4 linked regions of the Struthio camelus genome follow. The protein of the gene in region 3 purifies or fractionates together with the protein of the main gene of each other region. This does not show direct contact. Links are inferred from orthologs where the notes say so. Each region holds a gene or a part of one and is shown on either strand. Other genes may lie near its edges.

The links.
Region 1: the proteins of ABI1 (region 3) and WASF1 purify together in Homo sapiens (affinity purification with mass spectrometry; 6 studies listed by BioGRID and IntAct, with this or other methods). This does not show direct contact. The link is inferred for Struthio camelus from reciprocal best matches to the Homo sapiens genes ABI1 and WASF1.
Region 2: the proteins of ABI1 (region 3) and CYFIP2 purify together in Homo sapiens (co-immunoprecipitation; 4 studies listed by BioGRID and IntAct, with this or other methods). This does not show direct contact. The link is inferred for Struthio camelus from reciprocal best matches to the Homo sapiens genes ABI1 and CYFIP2.
Region 4: the proteins of ABI1 (region 3) and EPS8 purify together in Homo sapiens (affinity purification with western blotting; 4 studies listed by BioGRID, with this or other methods). This does not show direct contact. The link is inferred for Struthio camelus from reciprocal best matches to the Homo sapiens genes ABI1 and EPS8.

The regions. Positions count from the first base shown.
Region 1 is NC_090944.1:60,413,634-60,420,596, reverse strand, and holds the start of WASF1 (actin-binding protein WASF1), read left to right. Parts: upstream 1-3,944; 5' UTR 3,945-3,959; coding exon 3,960-3,961; intron 3,962-6,963.
Region 2 is NC_090954.1:11,239,203-11,246,702, reverse strand, and holds the start of CYFIP2 (cytoplasmic FMR1-interacting protein 2), read left to right. Parts: upstream 1-4,481; 5' UTR 4,482-4,598; intron 4,599-5,351; exon of another isoform or gene 5,352-5,491; intron 5,492-7,500. UniProt on the Homo sapiens protein: Involved in T-cell adhesion and p53/TP53-dependent induction of apoptosis. Does not bind RNA. As component of the WAVE1 complex, required for BDNF-NTRK2 endocytic trafficking and signaling from early endosomes.
Region 3 is NC_090943.1:19,262,654-19,269,791, forward strand, and holds the start of ABI1 (abl interactor 1), read left to right. Parts: upstream 1-4,128; 5' UTR 4,129-4,260; coding exon 4,261-4,377; intron 4,378-5,068; exon of another isoform or gene 5,069-5,361; intron 5,362-7,138. UniProt on the Homo sapiens protein: May act in negative regulation of cell growth and transformation by interacting with nonreceptor tyrosine kinases ABL1 and/or ABL2. May play a role in regulation of EGF-induced Erk pathway activation. Involved in cytoskeletal reorganization and EGFR signaling.
Region 4 is NC_090942.1:71,951,183-71,959,195, reverse strand, and holds the start of EPS8 (epidermal growth factor receptor kinase substrate 8), read left to right. Parts: upstream 1-4,994; 5' UTR 4,995-5,220; intron 5,221-8,013. UniProt on the Homo sapiens protein: Signaling adapter that controls various cellular protrusions by regulating actin cytoskeleton dynamics and architecture. Depending on its association with other signal transducers, can regulate different processes.

The sequences.
Region 1 (6,963 bases), on a different chromosome or scaffold from region 3:
AAATGCTTTATTTTTTGTTATATGGATGTAATTAGAATCTAGTGCCTTAAAGTCAGTTGCTATGATCAACTTTCAATGACTTTGGATATTAGTAACACTTAAATATGTAATTAGTACATATTTAGAAAGTAAACGTATTGCTGATACGGTTTTCTATTTTTGCAGCTGTTAGGACTTTTTAAAAATATATTCTATGAGTAATGGATACTTCAGAGAGAGAAGTTTATCGATTAAAATATAGTTAGCTACTGCTTTGGGCAGTTGAGTGAATTGCATCCAGTTTGACTCTCTCCAAGGCCGCTACTAGCTAAAACTTTAAATAGTCTCAGTGGACATGTTTGCATATTATAAAGATCATCATCATAACTAGCATTTACTACTATCAGAGAGAAGCAAAGAGTATATGGCTCTAAATGTGTGCATTAGCTTCTTACATTACATTCCTCAGTTCTTCTGTAAACCAACCATTAGTATTGCAAACTTAATAACTCAGAAGTAGAAAGTTGGGTCATATTCAAGGTCTGGAGTGTCAATTTTTCTTGAAGCCGCGCTTATTCTTAATATTAAACTTATGTCCATGTATTTTGAAGAAAATCAACATTAAGAACTTTTCTGAAAAGTACAGACTTTAACAATTTTCCCCCACCACTATTACTCCTTTTTCAATTTCTGTGTGTCAGTTGTATGACAAGTTGTCTTTTGTTGATGAAATCGGAATTGGATCGCAATATGGGACTCCTGCTTAAGTATGCTGTTGCTGAGCAAAAGAATGCCACTTTCAGGCTTTCTTAAAGATACAAAAGCTGATATTCCAAAATCTGAGGTGACTGGTATGTTAGTATCAGTCTTAAGTTTCATCTGAAGAGGTGAAACTACTTTGGCCTACACCCCCCATTTGGCAATATATTGGTCTCTGAATATGTATTAGTAATAACATGTCTGTAATATAGATGCATATTCTGGGGGCTGACCTGCTGGAAAGCAGCTCTGCCGAGAAGGACCTGGGTGTCCTGGTGGACGAGTTAACCGTAAGCCAGCAATGTGCCCTTGTGGCCAAGAAGGCCAATGGGATCCTGGGGTGCATTAGGCAGAGTGTTGGCAGCAGGTTGAGGGTTGAGGGGGAGGTTGATCCTTCCCCTCTCCTCAGCCCTGGTGAGGCCTCACCTGGAGTCCTGTGTCCAGTTCTGGGCTCCCCAGTCCAAGAGAGACTTGGCACTCCTGGAGAGAGTCCAGCGGAGGGCTACCAAGATGATTAGAGGGCTGGAGCATGTCTCCTCTGAAGAAAGGCTTGCGAGAGCTGGGCCTGTTCAGCCTGGAGAAGAGAAGATTGAGAGGGGATCTCCTCAATGTGTGCAAGTATCTGAAGGGAGGGTATCAAGAGGATGAGGCCAGTGTCTTCTCCATGGTGCCCAGCGACAGGACAAGAGGCAATGGGCAGAAACTGAAGTGCAGGAAGTTCCATCTGAACCTGAGAAAAAAATTCTCTCCTGAGAGGGTGACAGAGCATTGGAACAAGTTGCCCAGAGAGGTAGTGGAGTCTCCTTCCCTGGAGATATTTAAACCCCGTCTGGATGTGATCCTGAGAAATATGCTGTAGAAGACCCTGCTTGAACAGGGAGGTTGGACGAGATGATCTCCAGAGGTCCCTTCCAACCTCAACCATTCTGTGTGATTGTGTGTGTGATTCTTTGGAACATAGATCCTGTTCCTGGTACGCAGCCTGAATAGCAGAGTTACGTGGTTTAGTGATATTGTGGTGAGAAGGAAAATAATCTGGCCCTACATCTCTCCGATGTGGCAATGCATACATTATGACCAAGTGTCTGGTATGTATTAATGTGGTGGATAGGCATACCGTATGCAAAACTCCTCAAGAACTTGTACTTTCTAGGTGTGCTATTTCTGCTATGGCCATCGTCCTCCAAACGTGTAGAATAGGGGCTAAACTTTCCCATATACTGGACTAATTATTCTCGGTAAGTTTGATTAGCATTGGAGAAGTTCGTGTACTGCATCTTTAGTATAGCCAGCAATAGTTGGAAAATTCACTTAAATAGTTAATAGTAAGTAGCTGGGAAGTTTCCCTCAATGAGTATGAAAACCTAAAGGTCTCTTTGTTCAGGGTTTGTCATTTTAGTTAAATAGCTATAATTTATCAAAATGTGAATAGAGAATAATCATATTTTGTTGTTGTCCTGTTCAGCACACATTGTGTTTCAGTCGCTCTGCTACAGCTCGATATAAACACTGATTTTCACTTTCTCCCTCACTGGCAGATCTGAAAAGCATGTACGTATTACTAGAGCTTCTTTATGAGCCATATTTGTTGTATTCATAGGAACGTCTAGATGGTCAGATTAATATCTTGTTAGACATTGTCATTCATCCTATAATCGTAGAATATCCGCCAGGTTCTCATCTTGCCTTCTAGCAGGTGCTCTTTGCTCTCAAAGATAGCAACACAAGATTTCGTGAGGCCGCTTATTTAAGCGTCTGTATGAGGCTTCAGTGCCATATAGTATGTTTGGGTGAACAAGCTAACAATCTGCGCAAAGCCTCAGTAATGTCAGGTTTCAAGAACGTTATACAATCTCAGACATGACTAACTGGAGTTCTTAGGCTAATATCATCTTGTATAAAATTCTTACATTGTTAACACTCTGAACTTGAGGCACGAACCCCTGTCTTTGCATTTCTTGTATTTCTGTATTTTAAAAAGCAAGAGATTTTAAACGTGATATTTTCTGTAGGCTCAGCCAATTCAGAAATGTCCATGTAAGAATGTAAATTGTTAAGAATTTCTTGTGGTAGCAATTTCATTAAGCAGCACCTGCTGATAGTTCTTGCCTTCGTTTGGCCTGCAGTTGTATGGCTTTATAACAAACTGGATTAAGGTACTCATTCAAAGTTTTGTTGTTTTTTGTTTGCTGGATTACTTTTAACCTGGAATAATTTTATGATCTGTTTCTCAAACAGTTGTACCTGCATGGCTGGAGTAGGAGGATGGGGGAAGAAGCTGCAGGAATTCTCTCTGTGCTCCTTAAAAAGTGTTTATTAAATTATTGCCTTAAATATTCACTATCATTTTATGCAAAACTTTGCCAAGAATTCTCTTCAAATCTTTTGCTGCGCTTCTGATATCTTGAAAGTTTTGCTGTTGATTTCAAAAGGATCAGGTTTTTCTTAAAAATAAGTGGACTGCGGAAGCTGGATGGTTTGAGGGTTTCAGATTTTAACGTCATAGCATCAGCATTGGTTTAGGTTAGACCGTTTCTTTGTGTGTTACAAGCTTCAGGTGAAAGGATGCAATTTATTGGTGGCAATTCCAAACTTCCTTCCCATTTCATTTTACATTGAATACTACTTTTCTATGGGAAATAGTCCGATAATTCTTAAATAATTATCATAGTACTAGGAAAATCAGGTTCATTTTCCTGTATCTTCTTCCATCTACTCTTCTTTTAATCCCTAGTGAATTTAAAGTCTTTTCATAAAATCCTAGAACTGATGGCTAGAAGGGACCTCTGCAGGGTGTGTGGTCCAGCCTCCTGCTCAGCTCAGCCTGCTCGAAGGCTGTATTCTAGGTCCCTGACCATCTTGGGAGACGCTCTCCAGTTTCCTAACGTTCTTCTTGAAATGGGAGCCCCAAAACTGACAACAACATTTATGTGCGTTGTCTAGTTGGGAGATAGTAACTTTCCATGTTCTGTTTGTCCTAATGTAGCCCTGTGTGCTGTTTACCTTACTTGCAATGGAAAAGCATTGCTGACCAGTATTCAGCTTGGTGTCTGCTCTGACCCCCAGGTCCATCTCAGCAGGACTGCCACTCAGCCACTTGTCTGCCAGCCTGTACTGACGCGTGGGGCGAGTCTACCTCCTCGTACTTCTTGGGTGAACTTCACAAAGTTTCAGATGACTCATTCCTCAAGTATCTAAGCATCCACCTTATTTTTATTGTTATGTAAGTGTGTGTGTATGTATATGCACACATATAAAAAAATATAAAACATACAATAATATACAATATATATATACAATAAAGTGTATATACAATAATATAATAATATACAATAATATAATTGTATTTAATTGTATTGTATTTAAAAATATAATATAATAATATACAATAAAGTGTATATAATACAATACATTATATATTAAGCATATATGCTTATAAGTAAGTATATGCTATACTTAATACAACATATTATCTGTAATAGATATGTTTGTATATATCTGTAAATGGAATATATACACACACACGCGCGCGCGTATGTATTTACCTTAAAAAACCAAAGGATAAGAGCTGGAAGTTCTGTGCAGTTATACCAACTATCTGCTGTAATCTGAAGAAGACTCAGGAAACAAAGATGCATCAAAGTGAAAAATGGTCTTGAACATCTTGAGGGACCAGTCCTAAAAGGGTGGGTTTTTTAGATTTCTAGTTTAGAAAAATAGACAAAACTTCCAAACTTTTAAATGAAACAGAAAATGGATCGACAAAAGGAGGTTGTGAGAGTTTTTCAGTAAGTCTCACCACTTAGTGAAACAAATAAATAAACTGAAAGACAGCAGTGCTTTAGTCTTAAGAATTATACATAATGAAGTTGGATAAGTAGATAGAAATCATTCAGATAAAATATTCAGTAGAATCTTTTTTCTCTTTTTCCTTTTAAAACATGTCTATTTTTCAGAAAGAACTCTAAGGGGAAACAGTTTCTACATACATACAAGAGAGTTTTGTGAATAATCTTTACCAGAAATTGATTGTAGGGTAGTGTTGGACCCCAAGCATTTTGTAAAAACAGTCCTTGGTTTTTTTTTCATTGTCATCTTACCCAGGGTGGTCTAAAGGAGGTGGGGTGGCACTGAAATGCAGATATTCCTCTGGAGCGTTCTGGTAGAGAAACTATACTTTTGATATATCAGATTGGAAAACACAAAGAGCAAATCAAAGTTATGTCTTCAGAACTCTACATATGAAGATGCAGATTTCCCCCCCCCCCCCCAATCCTGTGGCTGAGAAACACAAGAATTGAGTTAAGAGGGGAGAAGTACAGGGGAGGTGGGCTTGAGTAGTACCTTTTAGATGCAGTAAAAAGCTTACTTTTTGGTAGGCTTCTTAAAAAGAATTAAGCATGATAATTCTTTTCAGTTTATAGTTTTCCCCTAAATAGAAATATATGGAATACGGGATGTAATCATGCTCATCAGAATGGCCTTGAACATTTTCAAGAGATTCTTTGTTTTTTTTAACGTATTTGCTTTTCAAAACATGTCATAAGCATGATCAAAATATCTTTACCTTCTGTGATTTGTGTTGGATTCAGTATGTGTCAGGTATTTGCAGGTTCATGTGTTCGATAGCCTTATTGTAGTTATAGGGAGGTCTAGTATTTCCAATTTTGTTGAACTGCTAAATTTGAAGAAATTAATTTTAAAACCTTTTATTGTGCAAAGATTTGAATTCAAGAGTTAATTGGTTTCTTTGAAGGAAAAGTGGGAAACCAGCTGTTTGGAATGTGTATAGTTTTAAACTTTACCAAAACAATTACATTTTTAAAGAGAATCATTTTATATTTCCTCTCTTGTCTGCCACAAAGAGAGTTTATAGTTCTCTGAATTTTTGGAAGCATTGTTGGTAACTGTATTCCATGTTCTGTATCTGAAATACTTTCTTTTCTGTTTTGGAATTTGAGCTATCATCAGCATAATACGAAGGCAATATTTTTCTGCTGGTGTAACTCCAATTAATTAAGTTATTCCAGGAGAAGATTTAGTCCTAAAACTTCACAGTCTGAACTCTAGTCCAGATGGGCTTTGAAGATAAACATTTAGTTCATCTGTGAATTGTGTTAAATTATAGTTAAGTATATCTGTAATTATACTTCAATATTTTGAGATTTCAGTTAAAAAAATTAATTCCATTTAATGGATAATTGATTGACTATTCTAACTGTTTTCTTTAGAGGTAATAGCTGAAAAGTCATAAATGTAATCTATCTGTAAATAACAGCGAAGTGTTAAATTTAATTTGAATTAGAGCAGTTCACTAGTCAGTGAGCATATCAACTTCAATTACCATCTCCTGTAGCATTGTACATGTGAAATTCTGTTCTGCTATTCCAAAATAATTCTTAGTAGCTGTACTGAGAATTAGTGTTCTTTATGAGATTTGCGGTAAGGAGGCTATAGCATGCTGCTTCTGTGAAGGGAAGATCAGTCAAATCTACAATAACCTTTTCTCATTCTTTGATGTAAACTTGGGTAATAAGAAACTATAAAAAGGAAATTAAGTTACAATTTTGAAGTTATGATTTAATGTAACAATATCCAGTAATCTTCTTCTGTCTTTGTAGGTACTATACAGACTTAGTTTTCCTCTAAAGACGTTTTAAAAAAAATCTCCAACAAACCCCAAACCCTACCCTTATGCAAAACTGCATTTTATAAATTTCATGCTGAGAGATGTTATAAAGAAAGTAAAAAGACAAGATTTTCTCTGAAAGTCTTTAAATACGTCCTGGAGAGTAACAATTAAAACTGCTTCAATGGGTGTCCTTAAACAAGGCACACTTCTGTTTTTATTTTCATCTTGATAGCGACCAGAAGTTACTGCCAATTAGTAGCTGTGTAGTGGCCTGCCTGAAATTACTTGGTAGTAGCCTTAATAGTAGTTACACAGTCACTTTAACGCGTTATTAATCTGTGTTCCTCTTCAATGCTATCATCCAAGTAGACTGTCTGTCTATATACTACATGTGCTGCATCTGTTTATAGCTGAATAAATACTTCCTTTTTGGGGAATTTAAATTCTAACAGCTTTCAAAAGTGCTACTGGCACTCAAAGGCGAAAAAACAGATGGATATTTCAAAGATAATGGTACAGTCAGAATGTGAATGTCTACAGTAAAACCTGCTTTATTACCATGTATTTCAAATAAGATTGTTGACATACTGTGT
Region 2 (7,500 bases), on a different chromosome or scaffold from region 3:
CAAGGAGAGAAAAAGCAACATGTAGAAGAAGTCTTGAAATACTCTCAAATTGTCTTATATAGTGACAGGGAAAATGGGACCTTCTAATGCAAACAGAGACACTCTTGGTAGGAAAAGGTCAAAGCCTAAAGTTTGTATCGAATTGTTCTTCAGTCTTTCAACATCAGAAGATAAAGAAAGGACCTCCACCGACATCTTTGAACTGAGTATGGGGGGACTCAACACTGCGGAGTGCTATGGTCCAGCGTGAGAGACGATCCCATGATCTGATTATCTGATATCTAAAAGGCACAGGAACCTTCTCCTGAACTAGCATGTTTGGAAGGAATGAGCGAGAGTGCTCCGGAAGGATTGCCACAAGACTGAAACATTGCAGACTGTGTGCTCAGTGCTCTAGTGAAAATCAGAAATGTTTTTTCCCACTCCAAAGAGTAACTGGATCATCAGAAGTAAAGCCTTTTCTCTCTCTTCTGTGAACAAACTGGTGAATCCTCTAGGAACTGTCATGCTCAACAGAAGAAAGAAAGTGCTATGTGAGGTGGACTGTCTGGGTCCTTCATGCTGAGTTCCACGTTATGTGGCAACAGCGGAAGAAGGTGTAGACAGTATCCATGTCCTGGTACTTCAGTTAAAATCCACATTTTTCACTGCAAGACAGAGACATGTTTTGACATAATTGACCTCAAAAACAAAAGTGTGGGTGTTAGCATCCTGCAGAATTTGTAAATAAGATCAGGACTTTCTGCAGAGCATTCAGAATAACTAGAGAAGTCAAGAGGACTGGTCCATGATATATGTATATATGCAGTATGTATTTTTGATGTTCCTCTGTTTGGGGAAGGGAGGACATGAGTAAACCTTATGTGACAGCAGTTCACAAAAACTTTTGAGTTGCAACCTTCCAGCAGCAGGTTCTGATGTTGTTACAGAAGCCAGGTTCAGAGATTTTTGCCAACAAAAATGGAACAAGGAAATGTAATTCCATGATCTCACTTATCCTGTGTCAAAATGTTTCTTCATAGAAGGAGGTTTTATTGCTGTTATTTTTCAGATCCATGGTTCTAGGCTGGCTTTTGAGAGCCAGAATATCTTGTCAGCTGTATGAATATGGGCAAGGCACTAGTTCCGATCTTAAACTTATCTTCCTACTTCGCTTTAATTACACATTATCTTCTTTGTTCTACTTCTACAAATATCATCCAGAGTAATTCTCCTAGACAAGGTGAATCCTAGCATTCAGACAAGAGGTGAGTCATGCCGAAATGCAGGATCAGAGTGCTACGTTCCAGTCAGGACTGCTGCCAAAAATATCGTGATAGTCTGGACCAATAGGTAGAATACGAGCATCTACAAATTGGTTTTCAATTCTTGCTTACAGTGAACGTTAGCTGAGTTTTTCTTTGGCCCCCTCATCCTTTTAGTCTGAGTTAACCCGTTGCCATGTTCCCGTGGTGCTAAATTTTGCATTTAGTCAGTGAGGTTTTCAATAGCCCTAAGCATATGGCACTGCACATCCACAACTAGATTGGAGGACACCTGGCCAAAACCCTTTTTTCTCCCCCAGCCCAGGTTGCACTTAGAGGATACGTACAACTCCCAGAGTATTCTGAATACTTCTTCCCTGAGCACAGGCACTCTCGCTGTGGCAGGTGTACCCACAGGTTCACAAAGTCAAGCTTCTGGCATGCTATTCCCTCCACCTTAGAAGGAACCAGGGATCTGTCAGTCCTGAGGAGGTTGCTATTAAGCAGCAGCAATATTGCTCCGCTAGGCAGTGGTTTTGAGACTATATTTATGTTAGGATGAGGTAAATGTAATATTTATTAGCTATTACTGTTGCACAAGATAATATTGTGAAGTCTCATGTTCAGATCTTCTTTTGTAGGAATTTCTTTATAAACAGTACATATTTTTAAAAGCAATAAATTGCTGTGTCCCGACTGTGGCTTTCACTATGTGTTAACATAAATGCAAAAACAATTTTATGCTGTTATAATCCTACAGCCTGCCCTTCCCCAAAATCCTTCCCACCAAGAACCAAACAAGCCTGCTCTGGTTCAGGAAATACAGCTGTTCCCCAGACCTATGCCTAGGTTCTGGGGTTAGATTAGGTGCTGGGTTCACTGGGATTAGTAAGTAATCAGAACCTCTGAAAATTGAGTTAATTTACTATATAGACACATAGACACAGATTTCTAAGTTTGAACATCCAATGTAGTGGCTTTAAATTCTTTAGGTCTTTCTAAAACGGGGAGGATAATATTTGAATGCTCCCAGACAATGTTTGCCTGCTAATACTTGCAAGATACTTCAAGAATCTCAAAATGATGGTGCCATACTGTGACAACTGCATGATACGAACATACTGTTAACACAGTCTTCTCCCACCCTCGCAGTTTATATGGCAAGTTTAGTTTCGTGCACTTCATGCGGCTTAACCATAGACATTCCCCACAAAGCAGAGGTGAGAATATCAGCTGTGTCCTGCAGGAAAGAGAATAACCTTCCTCTGTCTCCTTCAAAAGTATTTTGTCCCAACGTGCTCCTGACCTGCTGCTGCGATGGTTGAGTGCTGGCACGGTCAGGTTTGCAGCCTAGCTAGGAAAAGGCGGTCGAGCAGTAACCTCATCTAGAAAGAATGGCTGACCCTTCTCCGTGGGGACCAGTGGATGGAGTAAAGCAATGTCAGCTTTCCTTTGAAGCCATAACAAGTGCTTTCCTGGGCACATGGTGGTCACCCCGGGAAGTGGTGGTTGTTGGTGCTTCCAGCCTCCCTGAAAGCTGAGCTTGCCCAGTCAGAGCTCCCCGTTGCTGTTTGCTCTGCTCCTACTACTTGCAGAGCAGAACATGATGAAGAGGCCATGCAGAGGTGCTGGTCCCACGTCACTGCCACTGGCACTGGAGTCAGCTGCTCTCCTGCCCTGGCATGTAAGTGCTTCTCATCGTCACACTGTGTTGGAGAGGGCCAACGACTCCAGGATGCTGATCAATATTTGATCTATATTTGATACATAGCAACGAGTTCCATATGCAATGAAATGCAATTTCTTCCTGTCCTGCCTGTTCTTTATCTACCCCTTTGAGGACCTTTCTTTCCATAAACCCAACGATAATGTAGGTTTCGACACGTTACAGGTAGCATTTGGAACTACCAAAGTCACAAACTTACTCCCCAAAATCATGCATTGCCCAGTCTTCCTTTAAACATTTCCAGTTGTGGGATTAGATGCACTGCAACACTTAGGAAGCATTGCAATAAACATCCATTTGCTCTTCATTAAATATCCATAAGTATCCACTTGTTCCAGTCGTTAATTACCTTTTTCCGTAGTTCTTTATTCCTAGTGCTTTATTCCCAATTAGGTCTAGACCTGCACGGTGAGAAAGAACTGAGACATCTGCCTTCACAGTTGGAAGACAGAAAAATTTGGCCTGGAAAAATCCAAAATTTCCTGAAACATTTTGTAATGAATATATTCCCGTGTGATGTATGGCTCTGTCTGTACTCTCCGAACTCTGCTCTCTACAACAGGGTGGGGTTTAGGTGGAACCTTCCTTGCTAATTCTCCTTGCATGGATGAGCTCAGTGTATTGTTCTGTTCACCTCACAACACCATGACGTTACCTCTTGCTCTCACATCCACACGCACAAATAGCTGATGCCCACACTGCATCTGATGCACACATCTGTATCTGCATGTGGTCTGCTCCTCACCAGCATTCTTCCCCTTTTGCAAAGAGACCTGCAGGACAAATGCAAAGAAGCTTATTCTATGATCTAAGACTACAAAAAGTAGAAAATTAAAATAACATAACATTCACAGAACTCCCATCACCATTAGCCTGGCTGATAATGGGAATGAGTTAAAAAAAATAAAAAAAAAACGAAAACACAACAGTTTTCACTGCCACAATTTTCTTGAATTGACCTTGTTTCATCCACGGCCTCAGAGTAATACTAGCTGTTAAATCTCTTGCATCTGCAGTTAGAATGCTAATTTACTGAATCTTTCTGACAAGCAACAGATAGTGAAAAGAGGAACTATGGCTGAAAAATGTTCCAGTTAAAGCTGATGTAGAAGACTGCTACATAGGGGAAGGAAGAAGGGTCTGTTCCTAGAGTTGCTATTAATAATGTTCAGGTGTTGAGCTGTCTATTTAAAATGAAGACAGTTTTGAAGTTCTGTCTTGCTGCTTTTGGAGCGTGCAGACCCTAGTGCATCCACTCTACCTATCGCAGCAGAACTACAGCACAGACCTGGTGCCCAAGCTTCCTTCTGGAGCCAACAGAGCTTACACCCAGAGCTTACACTGGGAGCCTGTGCTCCTGAGCAAGCTCAGACCCAAGCTGTCACGGGCAACAGAGCAGCAGGCTTTCTGGTAAGGAATCAGCAGTGGTTATTCAAAGCCAGGAAAGATCCAGATGTAGTCTATTTTTAGCATAGACCAATGTTCAGGAAAGGAACGCTGCCAGGGACCACTGTGGAAATATATCTAGACATGCCCTGGGCTTCCAACAGCCTTGGATATCCACCGATGTCTTTTTAACATCTGAACCTCTGAGAGCTACAGCAGAATGAATGAAAGTCCTTTGCAAGGTTTGTATCAATCTGCACGCAGAGATGTTACTCTGGAGGTTTTAAGAGGTCCATTTTGCATTTCACACTAGATCTCAACAGCTGTATTGGAGCTTTAAAAAGAATCACAAGCAGAAGAACTGGAAGCTTATCCCTGAAAAAAGGCCAAAAGGAAGATCTTTTGGATGTAGTGCTGACTCAGAAGAGGCTCGGAGCCCTGCGCAAAGGCATTGTCTTCTGGTTTTCATCCCTTACATGGTCAGCGAACCAAGGCTTTATATATATTATGGAAACAGGACTGTCATTAAAACAGGGTTTTAAAAAAATCTGTCTTTGGCACAAGCCGCCTGCCGTGCACAGCGCCTGCATGCTTGGCAGCCCGGCAGGCTCGGCAGCGGCAAGATGGGGAAGCGCGCGGCCGCTCCTGCTTCTCAGGCACCTAACTGCATTCACCTAGCGCTTCCCGGGGGCTGCGGGAGCCGCCACCGCCAGCGGCAGCCCCAGCCTCTCCCGCTCATAACCCGGGGCTTTTCGGCCGTTCTCCCCCGGCCAGTTCGGCAAAACGGCTCCCTTCTCCTCCTCCTCCTCCTCCTCCTGCTCGCCGGGAAGGGCGGCCGCGGCGGCTGGCACCGCAGCCCGAGCAGGGGTCGGGGCGGCGGCGCGGAGCCGCGGGGGGATGCGGCCGCCCCTGCGCGGGGGCGGCGGCGCCGCGCATCCCCCGCGCTGCCCGGGGGAGGAGCCGCCCGCGCGGCTCCAGCCCCTTCCCGCGGCGGGGGCCGGGGCTCCCCCCCCCCGCCGCCGTGCGGAGGGGCCGGCGGAGAGCCGCGGAAGTGCACTTGCTGCAGCCATTTCCTGCTCTTTGTGCGAGCGGCGCGGAGCGGCGCGGAGCAGCGCGGCATCCCGCGCAGCGCCAGGTGAGCGGGGCCGCGGCGGGGGGCTGCGCTGCGCGGGGGCTGCGCGGGAGCATCCTCCTCCTCCCCCTCCCCCGCGGCTGCGCGGGGTTGCGCCCGCCGCCGCCGGCCCTGGCGCGCTGGGCCGCCCGCGCGGGCGCAGCGGGCCGCGGGTGCGGGCGCCGGGGCAGGTGCCGGCGCCCGGGGCAGCGGCAGCGAGGAGGCCCGGCGGCGCCGGGATGTGCGCGGATGTATCCCACAATGCTTAGAGCCACCTGCAGTATCGAGCCTCCCTTGCATTGATTGCACAGAGCCGGGGAAAAGACCCAAAATCGCACCGCCTGGTTGCGCGCATCCCCCCGCGGAGGAGGGGAAGGGCGACGAGCCCCGGGCCGGGATGCGCCGCAGGCCCGGCCGCTGGCGGCGATGGCAGCGCTGGGGTCGGAGCGATGCTCCGCGCGGGAGAGATGTGGGTGGAGGAGATGGAGGACCGGCGGATGCACTGGGCCGAGGAGCGAGAGGTGGCCCTGGCCCCCGGTCGGAGCTCCCATCACCAACAGCATAGAAAAATGGTGTCCCTCGGGGAGGAGAGGGGAGGAGAAAGCCGTGGGGTGTGAGCGGGGCTTGGGAAGGATGGGCCCGAGCTCTGGGGATTTTGTGCTGTCAGAGATTTTTCAAGGTTTATGCTTTGGTGTTGGTTGGAGTTGGCAAAACCTGGGTGCTCCAGAACGACTGATTTTCCACGCATGAGGCAATCTGTGGTCGAGATGTGCCCCGGTAGCGTTTCTTTGTGTTGAACTTTCAAACCAAGGATGTCAGTGATGAGTTCACTGGTGGCAGCCACATCCCACCTGAAAAGGAATGAAAAGATTTCACAGGAAATTTCCATGGGTGGAAGGGATCAGAAAGGAACGATGAGAAGAAAAAGAGGCACATACTAAACCGTCCGTGCTGGCTTAGTGATTGAGAGTCCTCTTTACTGGTTGTTTTTGGAAGGGGGAGGGTGTCTGGGGGCAGACGTTGAGGTCCTGCTGAGTAAGTGGATACGGCTGCTAGCAGCAGAGCTTGTCCCCCTTTGCCATCTGTTACTTTCCACGTGGGGGTTTCAAACCGCAGCTTTTGGATCACAAAGATCTCACCGAATTGTGTTTGGTCGCTAACTCACCAGAGCCCTGGCCCTGCCTGCCCTGCACAGATACCAAAAGAAAAAGCACGCTCGTATTTCACGTTATGACAGTTGTCGGAGGTTAGTCACTGTGATGGGTGATTAGAGCTGTGTTTTGATGTCTGTCATAGCGTTATAATTCTTGGGTAATGCTCCACAAAGGAGAATTCCTTTCTCCCTTTCTCTGTACAGTTAATTGTCATTAACGAAGCCCAAGGAATCTGGAAATATCTTCCATTTTCTGACCAGGGTCTCTTGAGCAAACGAAGCTATGCTGATTTCGTAGTAGTAATTTTATTAACAAACACCTATCATCTCTGCATGAAAAAAAGGCAGTTCCTTTTTTCAGTAATTGGCGAACTGTTAACAACACTATCTTTGTGCAATTTAATTTCCCAAGAAGTGCTTTAACTGTCAGTGTTGCAGACTGCTTGTAAACTGGCTCTGAATTTTTCAGCTATATCAGAAATGTAGCTTCCAGTGACAACTCTTGAGCGTCTTTCTTTGGCACGAGAAAGATTTGATGAAGCTACTCTACAAGAAATAAATTCCAAAATGATTCTGTTGATGAGAGAAAGACAGCACAAATGCCTGGAACTCAGCCTTAAGGGGATGGCAGAAAACGTAGAACAGAGATACAGAAAAACACCTTGAGGAGTTGTGCAGTTTGGTTTCCTTTTTTAATGAGAAGGACAATTTTATGGTTCTTAACGTCTGTGCCTGTGTAAGGCAGGAGCCCGGTTCTGCCAGTCTTATTCATCCTGGCTTTTTTTGCTCGTGCAAAGTACCTCCTGCCTGTTGTGCTGGTTGCAATTACAAGTAATTCTTACAGCATGTGAGGAGAGAGGGAAGGCCTGTGTACTAAGAC
Region 3 (7,138 bases):
CTGTAATGAAAAACTTAAAAATATTACTTGAGAAAAGCACATGCAGAGATGCCCAGGAGAGTGCAGAGAGCCCGGCAAATTATCTCCAAGAAGCGGGAACAACCTCATTCATCTCTCCAACACTCAGATACCCTGTGATGATAATTAAAATATCAACACGGTTAATTATTTTAGTTCTTAAGTAAATCTCTGTGTGCTAGATCTAAAGCACAGGAAGGCAAACCAATATAGCTCTGTAGCTTCTTGACCAGTTACTTCTAATATGGAATAAGAAACACCAAAAAAGCCTCTTTTTGTCCCAGAAAAAAAAAAGATTTTGGTAAGTATTCATGTAGGATTGTCCTAGTACAGCTGCACTTGTGTAACTATATCACAGTAATCAATAACAATTTTCTGACAAGAACATGAGGCTTGGCATTTGGCAGTAGAGCTGACATGGCTGATCCGAAGAGGTGCCATGTCCCCTACACTTCCAGCTGTCCCCTCTGATCCCTCATCTCCCTCTCCAGTGCCCTAGTCAAAAACACTTGTGTGGCTAGACAGCTGGATCAAGAACTGATCCAGCCGAGAAACCGTCCAACAAGAAATAAATGGTTATTTTCCAATCAACACTACTGAAGCAAGTACTGTTCCCAAGGGAAAAACAAAGACATACATCAATCTGTGGCCTAGAAAACAGAACAGACAGTTACAGAACTACATAAATTATAGTGCAGGAGAAGTTGCTTTGATGCTACAGCTGGATGCATTTAGAAGACAGCCACATTCTTCTGTGCTAGTCAGGAATGAGCTACGTCCCAGAAGGACAGTATTGCCCCTGGAGACCACCATGCCCACTGAGGGGGAAGTGAAGCTCATATAGGCAGTTGAGACACAGAGTTACACAAGCACACTTTACTCTGAATGAGATCTCGTTCTAATGATTGCTTAGTTGGAGCTTGAAGAGCATCATTACATTTTTTTCTCCACCAGTCCAGGCTCTAGTAAAATGTTTTAGTCTCACTTCTCTTGCACACTTTCATAAATCTTGAGCAAGTTAGTTAACTTTCCATTCTCATCAACAGTTCATTGTCTAGAACTATGGGAAAGTGTGATAATTAAAAAAAACAGCATAAAACAGTTTCTAAAGGACACCATGGTGAACGCAGTTCAGACATACACCAGTGTCTTCAAAAAAGGTCAACTTAGGTCCAAGGGTTTATTGGCTCTGGCTCAGTGCTGGTTTTGCTAGGTTTGGCAAGTTCTTATACAGCTACCTGAATGCGTCTGTGCTTTCAGGTGCATGGGAATTGCTTCGTGTACACACCATACATGTTCATGGAGCCAGCTTGGGTCTAGTGCATCTGAGTCAATACATCCCCTGAGAACCTGAGAGATGAGGAACACACTGTAAAGACACTCAGGTGAACCTCCAGGGAGTCATTTTGAAACCAGGAGGACTAACATGGATCAGGAGCTAATAAGGCCTGCTGATCTGGTTGAGCACATCCACACTATGTTTCCCAGTGCCTCTCATCTAGCCTGGCCTAGCAGCAACATACCTGTGGTTGTATGGCACTGAGTTAAAAAGTTCTGCTGGAGTTGACCTAGCTCGGTGTGGAGCCAGCTGTTGTGTTTCTATACTTGCAGTAGCTCTATCCTCTATGTACTGGTTAAACCCTGGCTGTGCAAGTAAGGCTACAACAAGTGCTGTAGCACATGTCACAAGATGGCGCTCTTTGATGCGGTCTTCCAAGCTCCTCTTGGGCTGCAATCACACTTTAGGAAGAGTTGGCAAGTTTGGGGTTTATGCAAGGCATTTTGGGTTGAGATCCATGGAGGGAAAGGGGCCGTATGAACACCTGAAGCCTCTGCTCTACTGTTTGAGGAGGGTGTATTCACTAAGGGCCACCACTCCCCTACTCAGCTTGCTGTTCTGCCATCTGCTTTTAGGGCTTGTTTGCCCACTGAAGCGAAGCACAATGCATTTAGCAAAATACACATAACTGATTTTTCCAATATTGAAAAAAGTTGATGTTCAAGACCCCAAACATCTGCCAACCCTTCATACAGGGGCAGCAATAGCATTTGAAGAAGAACTACCAACAATTGTGCTGCGTTTGAGGATGTTAACAGCTTCCATGAAGTCAGTCTTTGATCTGTAGGTAATTACAAACTCATCCAAGCCAATGGGTGCGTTAAGCAATTTGCAGCCAGACTGAATAAAGACATGAAATTTGTCTTTGTATTATAGCTGGAAACAAGGAGAAGTCAGTGCCCAAGACAGTTTCTGATCACATTTGCTGTGGGACCCATTAAAGGCTTGTCTATATTTCAGTACTGTTGCATATCAAATTTACTTTATATTAAAATGGCACCTAAAATCCTAAATAAAATGTTTGATTGGAAATTATATGCTGTCCTAAAGAGAATTATCGAAACCACTTTGGAAACAATTTTGTTGAGCTGCCAAACGAATTAACCTGCGGAGCAATGTAGACTCCTCTCTATCCCACAGGAAGTGCTGTAGCAGGTCCTTTCTGCGATGTCCCAGGATGCACTGGAATGCCTTTCTGTGTAGCTGTCTCACCGTTCCCCAGCCAGGTGGTGGTTTTTGTAACTCCAGCTGCAAAGACCTTCCCAGGCCCACACGTCCTTCCCAGGCCCCCTGCCATTCATGCTTGGTTCCAGCGCTCTAGACTGAGATGCTGGACTTTGCTGACCTCTCAGGGAGAGGCAGATATATTTTTCCTTTCTCTTGACTTAGGCAAGCAGGTATGCCAAAGGATCCTGCCCAGAGTGGTTTTCAGTACTACAGACAGAGAAAGGACTCCACTGGACAATGAACATGCAAAATACCATGACTGTGCCGCAATTTAAGGCAATCTGCTCTTACTAGGATGTCTTTGAGGGTGTCATTCCTAAATACGTTGACATTTCTCTGCTATGGGTTTCTCCAGGACAATTACTAAAATGCAAAGGCTGACCCCAGTTGTGTTTGTGAGTGCGTACACAAGGCAAGCAAAGCCAAGGCATGAATAATGGAGCTAGGAAACAGCTCTGTTTGGGCCTGCTACTTACTGGAAGGCAGGCTTGGACTTCTCAGCACATAAGGCACCTGCTGTTATTGGCTTCTTTCTGGTATGAACACGGAAAGAGGATTTGACTTTCAAAAAAATATATGCAAAAAATATTTTACTGAAGAATCACTGGACCCTTATCCATCACATCTTTTCAACAACAATTGGACAAAAGCCTAAACAACGATTAACAACTACGGCAAGAGAGTGCCACAAATAACGTATTCATCCCAGTATAATATTTAAGTTCTTCTTATGATATTAAAAAGATAAATGCTAATTGTTTGTGAATTGTCACTTCTGGGCAGGCCCAGAAAAAAAAAAAATCTACACAGCTTAGATTTGGTGTTTTTCCTACTCCACGGGAGAACCAGCTGGGAACAGACTTCCCCTCGGACTAATTACCTCTAATTGTGACGCTCTTACCACCTTACCAATTTCTGCCACCCTTTGCTGTTATGCTGCTCGAGCCTTGCCCTGCCCCATCTGAGGTGGTCGCTGGCCAGAGCACCAGCGCAGAGCTTCACCCCGCACCCTGTTGCCGCTTCTCCTGGAGAGGTGACCCTCGCCCAGGGCAGCCCTGGTGGGACTGGGTTTTTCTGAGGAGGGACGAAACGAGCAGCAGGAAAAGAGGCGCTGGAGAAGGGCTCGGAGAGCCAGGGGCGGGGGCAGCGCTCGCAGCCCGCGCGTTGCGGTCGGCGATGCGTGTCGTGACCGACCCCCGGGCCCTCGCCCAGGCCCTCCGCCGCCGCGACAGCCTCGTTCAGCTCGGCGAGAGGATGGCGCTGCCCCCTTCCCTCCTCCCTCCCTTCCTGCCCGCCCGCCCCTCATGAGGCCGGCGGCCCCTCTCCCGCCTCCCTCCGCGGAGGCCGCGCCGGGAGGGCAGCGGCGGCCCCCCGAGCACCGCCACCATCCCGCCGCGGCCGCGGGCGGCGGCCATGAGCAGCGCCCGCCTCGCCGCGCAAGCGCCCTACGCGGAGCAGCGGTGCCTACGATTCCCAGCTTCCTTTGCAAAGAGCTTTTTTTTCTTTTTTTTCTTTTTTTTTTTTTTCCTCCTCTCTCCGAGGGGGCAGGATGGGTGGGGAAAGCGAGAGCTCACGAAAGCGAGGCGAGGAGGAATCCCACAATACCAGGCGGGTTGTGAGCTCGGAGCTGCCGCTGTCTCTTTAATGCAGGAGGAAGCGATGCGGAGGGGTGGAAAATGGCAGAGTTGCAGATGTTACTAGAGGAGGAAATCCCTTCTGGCAAGCGGGCTCTGCTCGAGAGCTACCAGAACCTCACTCGGGTCGCCGACTACTGCGAAAACAACTACATCCAGGTGAGGGGCGGCGGGGGCAGCGCCCGTGCGGCGCACCGGGGCGCGGAGGCTGGCGGCAGGGCGGGGAGGCAGGGCGGCTCTCCGGTGCGGGCGGCGGCGCGGAGCCGGGGCCGCGGCCGCCTCTGGGGCACCGCGGCGCCCCGCTGCCCCCGCCGCGGCTCCCTGCCCGCCCCCGCCCCTCCGCCGTTCCCCCGGATTTGCGTTTTCTTTTAACTTTTCTCGCTGAACGACTGGATTTTCCTCTCCCCCGCTCCGAAGGGGGGGGGGTTATTATGTCAGTCCGGCTCAGAGGGTGTGTCTTTTTTTTTCTTTTTTAAATTTATTTATTATGAGTCACATCCCGGAGACCTCCCTGGGCGGGGGGGGGATGGTGGTGGGGCTTGTGAGCCGCGCCGTGTGGCCGGGTCAGAGCCGGTGTCTCAGGTTTCCCCGTCAGCCGTCGCCCCGCGGCGGCGCGGCTCCTTCGGGGCAGCGCGGGGCGCTCGGTGTGGCGGGCGGCGAGGCGGGCCCGCCGCGGCGGTTGGTGGCGGTTGGTGAGGCGGGCAGCGCCGCGCCTCACGTGGAGCGGCGGCGCGCGGCTTTCGCACCTGAGGCGCGGGGGCCGCGGGCGGCGCTGAGGGGCGGCGGGGGGGGGCGGCGGGGCACGGCGCGCGCGCGCGGCTGACATCACGCAGGGCCGTCGCCCGAGGGACCTCGCCGTGGAAATTCTGCTTTTAATCCCGGCCGCGTAATTCTCGCCGAGGCCCCGCGAATCACTGTCTTGGCGTGATGCGCTGCAGGTTTGAATCGTGAAAAGGAGCGGTTTGTGAGAGCAGGAAGCGGCCGGCATACCGGTGCTAACGTGTGAGCGTGATGTGGTATTTCAAAATGGCAATCTGTGCCTCTTGGAGGCTTCCTAGTTCAACCATCCTATGACAGTAATTTTAGACCGGCTCTCTGTTGCTGGAAGAGGCTCCATTGGTTGAAGCTTGTCTACACCAGTCAGTGCGTATTTTTTTTTCCCCTCGTAGCTTGCTGGTGCTTCTTGGCCTTGCTTTAAGTCATTTTTGTGAAGCTACTTTAAGCACACTTTAATTTATTTTATTTTTTGAGGGTTTGGCTTTGCAGCATTTAAGTCGGAATGTAGATCTGTATATGTAGCCATACTGATGTGGATTCAGAGCCACGAAGAGATGCTCAGATTAAACATTCTTTCATTTTTTCTTAAAAAAAAAAAAAAGCAATTAAATTACACTACTTACTAGACAGCTTGTAAAGTTGACTTGTTGAATGTAATACTAGACTACCTGTAATGAGTACTTAATAAGTGTTATTAAAATCTTTGGTGTCCATTGTTGCTAGTACACTTACTATTTTTAATAATGGAGCAGCAAACTTGAAAACCAGGCTATAAGAATCTGTACTGGAATCTGTTTTCTTTTTTTTTTTTTTAATATGAGCTAATGTTGGTATTTAGATTAAAGCTGTACTAACGAGCCGTGTTTTTTAAGACTCTTTTTCTGTGAGGCAATAAGAGTTGATGTGTATTTACTCTTCCGACTTGTTTGCTCCACCCAAATAAAGCTGCTGATATAAATGCTTCTAAGAGGCGAGGTTCATTTAGTTTTACTCATGGGAAATTATGACAAATACATGAGTATGGTAATTACAGCACAAGTTTTGACCCGTCTCCTGACTTTTTCTCCTGTGTTAAAAAGTTGCAGAGTATCTTCGGCTATATGATTTTTTTCAGGGTCCTAAAACTTGCCTTCTCTTTTTCAAGCAAGCAAAAAACATTTAAACTCCTTCTCATCCAGTTGTTTGTCAGGATTTTTTCCCCCCTCTAGCTCATTTTCACCTCAAGTATCAGGGTCAATTGGATATGGAATTGGTACAGTCTGATGGTTTATCTGTGTACAGCTGTGTTTATCCTTTTTGGAAGGAAGCTGAAGTTCTAAAATTCCTAATAAGGATTTAAGCAGCAGCTCTGAAGAATGTATACCTAGCTTGCATGGTGCACAGATCAGACTCAAGTCAGTAAAAATGGCAAATATATCTATAAAACTGATTTTTTTTTGAATGTCTGGTAGAGGGTTTTTTTGGTTTTTTTTTTTTTCTTTTTAATCAGCACTTTGTGCAAAGCCATCTGCTCTCCAGTTGGACTACTGAACAGATTATACTTCCTGTGCCTGTGGTCGTGCCACTGCAGGATTAGGCAATATGACACTGAGAGTCTGGGTTGTGAGGACTGGGAGAGTGTGTGTATGTATGTGTGTGTGTGTGCGCGTGCGTGTGTGGTATGGGAAGGGAAGGGAGGAAAGAGGAAGAGGCTTAACCAACACAAAATGTAAACTGTTTGTGTTTAATATAATTGAGTTAGTAACTAATAGTCAATGCAACAGGGAGCATTTAAAAAGAAGGGGGTAAAAAAAAAAAAAAAAACAGGCCAGAATGGAGAACCTATATGTTAAGTGAGTGCTAAAATAGTTTAGGATTGGCTATGTGTCATAATTTGTCCTATGTAACTGACTCAAACTGTCCTCTTTGAGTTTGGATAGCTTTGAGTCTGGATAGTTTTCTGTCTTTGTATGGGAAAGATTGTGTGCTATTTAGTATAAAATCTATTATTCTGTACTCAGACCTCCTCTGCATGGTGAGGTTGAGATGGAACAAGTTTGATTATTCTGTTTGCTGGTATTAACAATTTACAATAATTATAATAGCACTCATTCACTCAAAACTCTTGATATTATTATTTTTTAATTCTTTGTTTACTTTAACA
Region 4 (8,013 bases), on a different chromosome or scaffold from region 3:
CGTGTTTAGTGTGATGGTAGTGCTACTTGATGTGTTTTTTAAAAGCTTAATTCGCTATAGTCCTGTGAATGCACCAACACCTTGTCTTTCATCAGAAAACAATAGTTAGCTCTCTCCTTCAGACATTTCTCCTAGAAAATATAAAATCTACAGGCCCCAAGCCCAAATAAAAGTGTCAGCATCCTTTTTATCAACACTTTGTGTTTATTAAAAAAGACCTCTTGATTTTATACGCTTGACTCAAGAATTCGGAAGGCTTGGGGTGAGCAATATAGCTAAGGTTATTCCCCCTCCTCCACTAGAGAAATGTGTCTTCAGAGCCTTAAACAGAAAATGTGTCTTCAGAGCCTTAAACAGAAGGAAAAACAAAACTCAGAAACTTCTGTACATTCTGGCACAACAGATCAAATAACTGTTTTCAGTTATATGTTCTTCTTTCTGCCTAGCCTCTTTTACATGAATATGAGATATAAGGAAAAAGATATATCTGAGGTTTAGTGCTCTACCTCTCTACCAATAATATACAATTGTAATAAAAAACATCTGTCCTACTTCCCTGTGAGGAGCACAGCATAGATACAAAAAAAAATTGATCGTCTGCATCTTATTTCATTTTTGTCTCCCTAAGATAAGAACATGGAGGCATCAGAATGCGTAACGTTGTTTGAGTTTGCTTTGTAACCTGCAATTTATTTGCCTAAATTCAATTACAGTCTTATCCATCAAGCACAGTGTCGCTCTTGAGAGGGGACAGATCAAAATCTAGTAATCACTTACGAACCTGCTGAGCTTTACTCACATGAGGTCCGTCGTTCCTGTAGGGCTTTTCTCATGCCTCAGGTTTATTTCAGGACTGAGTCCCTGATTTCTAAATCCAAGTGTCAGCCAACTTGCTGTTGGAGCAGAGATTCAGTAATGCAAAAAATTAAGGATTTGGGCCTGATTCTATTCCTTCTGAAGTTAACAGCAACCCTCCTCATAACTTCAGCGGAGAAGGGTCCTTTATGTTATGTTACTAGCTGATTATTGTCCACAAAGGACTGTGTCGAAATGACTGCCAATTCATAATGTCACAGAACCCTTGTCTTGCTGGCAGCCTCTTTATCATCACCCATTTATCTTTAATCCCAGCCATAAATTTACATAGTTTGTAGCTGATGCATTAGTGCATTAGTAACTGGAATGCCTGCATAGGAGGTTTACAAGTCATAGATTATGGCAGCTTCTGGCTGAAGAGTTTTAGGCTCAGGTGGGACGATAAACAGCTGGCTCGTTTATCCTAGCCAGCTCACTCAGATAATCTCTCTCATGTATGCAATAATATTCCGGACCAAGGAATAAAAAACTGATAACCCTCGGTGGCTAGACTGAGGAACAAATAGGGTAAGTTTATGTTTATTGCTGCAAGCTCCAAATTAAACGCAACACAAAACAGAAACTCCCAAGAGGTGTATAGCGCCAAATTCTCTGAGCTGGGGATGCAGGTGCCACAAGGGCAAATGATTGTCCCTTCTCCTTTTTCAGATTTCACACTTTTCTGCAGTCCCTAATGTAACTTAGACAAATGACGGCAGCTCTTTGAGATGCTGTTATCTATCACAGTTGCGTGCAATCTCTGCGGAGTTCAGCATCGTGAGTACACTCGGATGAAATGACGCCACCTCGTTCTGCTCTGATATGTTCTCTGCCGTATCCTTCAGCTCTTCGGAAGATTATTTCTTGGCTGGAAATGAGGCTTCTGGGACTCCGTTGCACTGCTTCGGCTCTTACCTGGGATAAAGGGTATGAGTCACTGAGGAACAAAACGTTTTCCCTGCAGTTCAAAACTATGTTTGGAGTCCTGTGTCTGTAAGGAAACAGTTATAAACACACCAGGTTCATTCATTTTCACTTCCAGGTTTAGATCTTTGTTCTACTTTACTTAATTTGCCTGAACCAACCTTCCCTAGAAAGGTTATTAAAGAAAATTTAAGTAACTTCTGTAATTTAATATTAATCAACCAAGTATGAGCTCTCCAGTAAAGGAACCTCCTGTCTAGTTCTTAATGTTCCAAAGGTCATGGGGAGGGACGAGTTGTTTTATAATTTCATTTTATATTGTTTTGTTGGCAAAAAAACACATTGCAGTGTTTGCCAAAAACTAGTCTTTGGAGAGCAGAACTGAGGTGCCTAATACATTTAGATACTTACAGAGCCTCCCCCCCCAACACGTCCAGACCAAATCTATCTCACCAGTTTTGAGTCCATTATGTTATTCATAGTTTTACTATTCAAGTAGTAAATCTGAGTTTATAACAGTTACATTCACTTCTTAGTTTCTACTGAAAGTGGTATAAAAATAAAAAAAAAATATTCTGATGGGACAAAGAAAGAGGCATTTAAGCAACGTATGCTAAAAACAGATACAACCCAGACAAAATCCCAGTCAGACTACAGCCACCTCTGGGACTAGAAGAAGCTCTGTGCTTAGTCTTCAAATCCTCTGGCCTGCATTGTTTTGTAGATGGGACTATGTTTAGCCTTTCAGCAAAAGCTTTCCTTTGATTCCACCTAAGCAGCAAATAAATTGTTTCCCTATGTGGGATTTTTTACCTTTTTCTTGTTGTCTTTTTTAGAAGCATAAAAGAATGAAGTAACCTGCACCAATAGCCCCTTTTGTTTGTCTGCCTTGCTATGGATTACAGAGGATTAGCCCCAGATTTGTATGGTCCTGTATCAGGAACAATTTAGCTTTTTCTTAGTGGAGTTACATATTCCTTAAAAGTAAGAGAACAATCGTGCCTGTTTTATATATTTTTCTCTTGAAAACTCCGTGGATACATTAGCATCTGTTTTTAAAAAAAGTGGAAATTCCAGTATAAAGAGGTTAAGCTTAAATCTCTAGGCTTGCGGCAGCCAAAACTGTACAATTTGAATACTTGCCCATCTATTTTCACTACAGTCTGAATATTGGCACTCCCTGTGAATCTGCAGATTTGTTATCCACATGCCTTGCATTGCACGTGCACCTGAAAAGGAGGTTGCAGCTGGCTCGGGCCAAGGTAACTTGTGCTTGGCACAGCTCCATGGTGGAAGGGAGAGTAGGCGAAAAGTCTCTCTGCTGGGTTTGCCAGACAGTTGTGTAAGTAAGCAAGTCATTTATTGTCTATAAGTCATTCTGCAGGTTCCCAGTATAGAAAATACGTTCAGGCTAGTCTGTAACAAAATAGGGGCAAAATCCTTGGAATATCTTTTTTCTTTTCCCTAAACAGGAGAAGGCTCATGAAAATTCTTCTTCATCTCCTGTGTTACAATGTTCTGATTTCTGTTTGGCAGCATTATTAGCTTCATAAACGTATCAAGAACATTTTATAAATACCCATACCTACTGTACACATCCTGAAGAAAAGCTCCCAACACACAGGTTCTACGTATGTATAGAAGTAAGTACAATTCATTCTTCTGCAAATCTTTCCCTCTCTCTTATTCTTTTGACTTCCCTTTTCTCATCCTCACATTCTATTTTCTTTCCGTGTTCCTGTTTGTTTCTCCTGTTGCTTTTGAATATTTTCTTCCCAAATTAAAAAAAAAAAAGAAAATTACCAGCCCACGTGGTTTTCTGCATGTGTCTTGTGTCCCTTGTTAGAGGGAACTGGAACGGAGGTGGTCTTGGGCTGCTATCCAGGGATGAAGGGGGAGCTGGAAGAGATCTGTTGTGTAAGATTCAGCAACTTTACCACTGCAAACACTAATTGAGAAATGCCTTCCTTCCTCCTTTTCTAAAAGAGTGTTTGGGAAAATTGGTGTCCTTCCTGGAGGAGCAGTCAGGGGCATAGCTCCAGCAGCGACGGCTCTGGCTTCACCTGCCTCTGCAAATGAGTCACTGAGTGTTATAAAAAGCCAGGCCCTGCCAAGTTTCATTTCTTGGAACTGAATGGCAATTTCAGAAGCAGCTGCTCTTTCATTAGTTTATACTTTTTTCCTGTGTGGGTTTCTTGAAGAGGGCCTGGAATCACAGAAACTTTATAGCATAAAGGACCTGTTGCTGCATTTGGATAACTGTGACTCCACCCTGCAAAGGGTTATGTGTTTGGCCTAGATCTGTAAAGATTTACGCGCTTCTTAATTTTGAGTTTCGTGAGGAATCTCGGGGAAACCTGGAAAGGCGACTCAAAGAACGTGATTAAGCAGGTGTGTAAGTCTTTCAGGATTGCCAGTTTCATCCTATCAAAAATCTGCAACCGAGCCTTGGAAATCAGATTAGCTATTTCATGTATTACCTCAAGGGGGGTTCCCTTCATCTGTCTGATGCTGTAAGAGTAATGTTTTCTAGCTTTTCTTGTGAGTCATAAGGGACAGAAATGTCTTTGAAAATGAAGCAAGTGAAAACTTGAGATTCGCAGGGAACAGCCTGATTTCAGGAGTGGAAGCGGCTTACTACCATCAGCATCATAAGGCTCGTGATAAAAATCATGAACGCGGCAAGAGCGCAGAGCGAGAACGTGGGCTACCTGTAAGCACGCCGCCGGTGCCTCTGCCTGGGGCTGCTGCCGTGTGCAGGGTGACAGGCGCGTGTAACTCGGCAGGGCCCGCAGCAAAGTGGGTCCAGACGGACCCAGCAGCAACAGCTGAGAGATTTCATCGGGGACTTCAAGGGGGGAAGGGAAGTTTTGCGCTCTCAGAGCGGGCTCCTTCCGAAGGCGGTTTAAGATACAGCTGCTGCTGCGGGGAAGGATTTAGCTTTGCAGCCGCGGTAGGTTTTGCGTGTGGTGGTGGGGTTGTTAAACGCTGAAGCTCAGTTTTTTTTTTTTAAAAAAAAAAAAGTCACCTATTTCAACCCAGCCCCGGGGAGCTACGCTCAGCCCCTCCGTACTGAGCGACGCCTCGCAAACCTCAGCAAGGAGCGGGAGGTCAGCGGGCTGCCGCTCCGCGGCGGGCACCGCCGGGCGCTGCGCGGGGCCGGGCCGGGGCGGAGGGCCGGCAGGGGGAGCTGCGCTCCGCTCCGCGCCGCGGCTGCTCCGGGGGACCCGCGGTGGCGGCGGCGGCGGCGGCGGCGCCCTGCCCGCGCCGCCCCGGCACTTTGTTCCCGGCGCGGAGCCGCCGCGCTCGCCGCTGCCCCGTTGCCCTGCGGCGGCAGCGGAGCCCCCGCGGAGCCCAGCGCTGCTAGGGTCTCCCCCCCCACTCCCTCCTCCTCCTCCTCCTCCAGCGCGGGAGCTGCGCGGCGCATCGGCGCCCGCCAAGGTAAAAAGGGGCGCACAAAGGCGGCCGGTTCCCCCGGCCCCCCTCTCCGCTTTTTGTTCCGCCTCCCAAAAAACGCCGCCGCCCGAAGAGCTCGGCGTCGGTCGGGACAGGGCCAGCTGCGGGGTATTCACCCCCAGCCGCCGCCGCCAGGTTCAGCTGGGGCGGGGAGAGGGCTGGGCGCCTCCGCGGCTCGCAACTCGCTCGGGGGCTGCGGGGAAACTCCGCGCCGCTGTGCGCGGTGGGTCTGCCCGTGGGACGGGGGGCAGCCTCCTGCCGGAGCCTTTCCCCACCGCGGTGCCTTTCTGTACGTGTATATCTATATGTATTTATATGTATGTGTGTGCGTATATATATACATATATATATATATTTTTTTTTTTCTTTCTTCTCTCACCTCCTTTTGCGGTAAGCGGAGCCGCGGCCGCCGCACCTGCGCGCACCTTGCCCGCAGGCTCCCCGCGGGAGCGCTGCCGGCCGCGGCGCTTCTGGGCGCCGGGCGAGGGTCTCCGCCGGTGGGCAATGCCCGTGGCCGACCCCCCCCCCCCTCCTCCTCACTCACCTTCTGTCAGGTGACTTGGCTTTCTGTCCTTATTGTTCCCCCCCTCCCCCCAGTGCTTAAGCTTTTTGCAAAGATGATGTGAATCGTTCATAGCTGGCAAAGGGCAGCTCTCAGGGTGGGCTAATGCTTTCGTGTGCCTGTGCTTCTTCTGGGCTGTGCCCGGTTGTCTTCCTCTATTCAGCCCTTTCCCACTTTTTCTGATAACTTTCCCTGGCGCTCTTCCTCTTCCCCCTGTCCTCGCCGCAACACGCTCCCTTTCATATTGGCACCAGCGTGCTTAGGGTGACCTGGGCACACAGCGGAAAACAGGTTTGTGGCCTTTGGCTGAGTGATCTAAGGGTGCTCCTGGCCCCCCTGTAACCTGTATGGGGTTGGGTTATAGCTGTGAAGAAGCAGCATGCTGCAGCTTCCATTAACCCCTAGCTTCAAGACAGTTAGTAGCAGGCACAGAAGAAGAATGGAACAAGTTTTGCCTGAAGCATGTTGTTTGCAAATCAACCGCCCCCAAAAACCTCCCCCAAAACCCTGCTTTACCCCAGCTTGTGGCTTTTGAAATCCCCAGAGGCTTAAAGATGCAGCAGGATGACCTGTCGTGCAGTCTATTTTGTTTATGCAAAGTGAAATATTGCGGATAAAAATACTACTTCTCTGTGTTTTTTGCAGAAATATTAACAAAATGATGAATCTCGGGTTTCTTTGCAGCACAGAGCATGTTTTAATTGTGCCTCTCCTTCCTTTTGTCATCAAAAATACGGTTCTCCTCCCTTTCCTATTGACCATCTTTCTTCTCGTTTGTGATTGTGCAACATCTATATGTCAGCTACAAAAACTGCTTACATGGAAAAATATAAAAATGACCATTTTTGTAGTTAGCAAATATGGAAATACAGAATCAGCACCCTGTGACCAGTCTCCTTTTCATGGAATACCAGTGAAATGCAGCAAGCAGGGCCCTATGAGAAGTGGTCCTCTGCTGGGCCATGCCGGGAATGGTTTGGCCCTTTCCTCTCGAGGAGCAATGGGGGACTGCAAGAGCTTCCAAGATGTAAGGGAGATGCAGCTTATCTCATCCTGATGTCTGTGGTGGTAGATTTTTTTTTTTTCTTCTTCTTCTTTTAATGTTGGTAAAGACCTCAGTGTTTAAGTTAAATGTGACTGCCATTGTTTGGGAGCAGTTGCCAGACTCTCTCAGGTCACAGTGAGTGTAGCGTTATTAGCGTACCTGTATCTTCAGGTAGTGAGATAATGTATTCAAAGTGCTATGTAAGCAAACTGCTTCTTGTTTTTGCTGATGGAGGCTATGGAAATATAACTGGCTTTGGACAATATGTGTCACGTAAGTCGTAATGATTTTGCAGTATTGGGTTATGCATTCTCTTTAATTCAGAATAAATGTTTTTGATTGCATGTAATTTAGAAAGCATCCAGAGAATCCCATTAGATTTAAGTGAAGAGAGCTAACGCCCCATGAGTAATAACACGCCATAATGATTAGGTGTTAGGCTATATATAACGATCATAAAGAGTCCAAGGTTCATCTAAAGATACTTAACTTCTATGGTGAAGCACATAAATTGAAAAATTACAAAAGTCTTCTGTTTGGATGGCAGCTGAATTCATGAAATATGCTTGACTTTCCGTCCGTAGTCCAGCTGTAGATGGCAAGTCATTCACGTTAACTACTGAAAGCTTACTAGAACCTAAACATCTGAAGTTGAATAATTGATGCCCTGAGGGCCAAAATAGACTGCATATGTAAGAACTTTTCTCTTCAACTACTGCAGTGGAGTAACAGAAGACTTGAAGTCCGCACAATAAAGACTACCCTAAAAAGTGCTTGCTAACTTCAATTTTGGTGCCTAGTGCTTACTTCTCATATGTGCCTTATTAGAATTTCTGTGTCACATAACTCACCTGTCTTACAGAAGGACTGGTCAAAGATACAAGATTCCCTAAAAGCAGCAGCTTTCAGCCATGCCATACAGAAAAATGGCAGCTTTTGATGTGTGATTCCTCCAAACTTTGGAGTGCAGCAGAACCTCTTCTCTGCTCTGCATGGCCGGTAGCAAGACAGAAAAGAAATATCACACCTAGGAAGTGTGTTGCCTACAGTACAAACAGCACGCGGGTCCCTATCCTGATATGTCGGTCCAGAGAGAATTGCAAAGGTGCTATGTTTGAGTGTATTTTCTGCAGGTAGATAGGCTTGGTTGTCCTGTTTCCTTTAACACCAA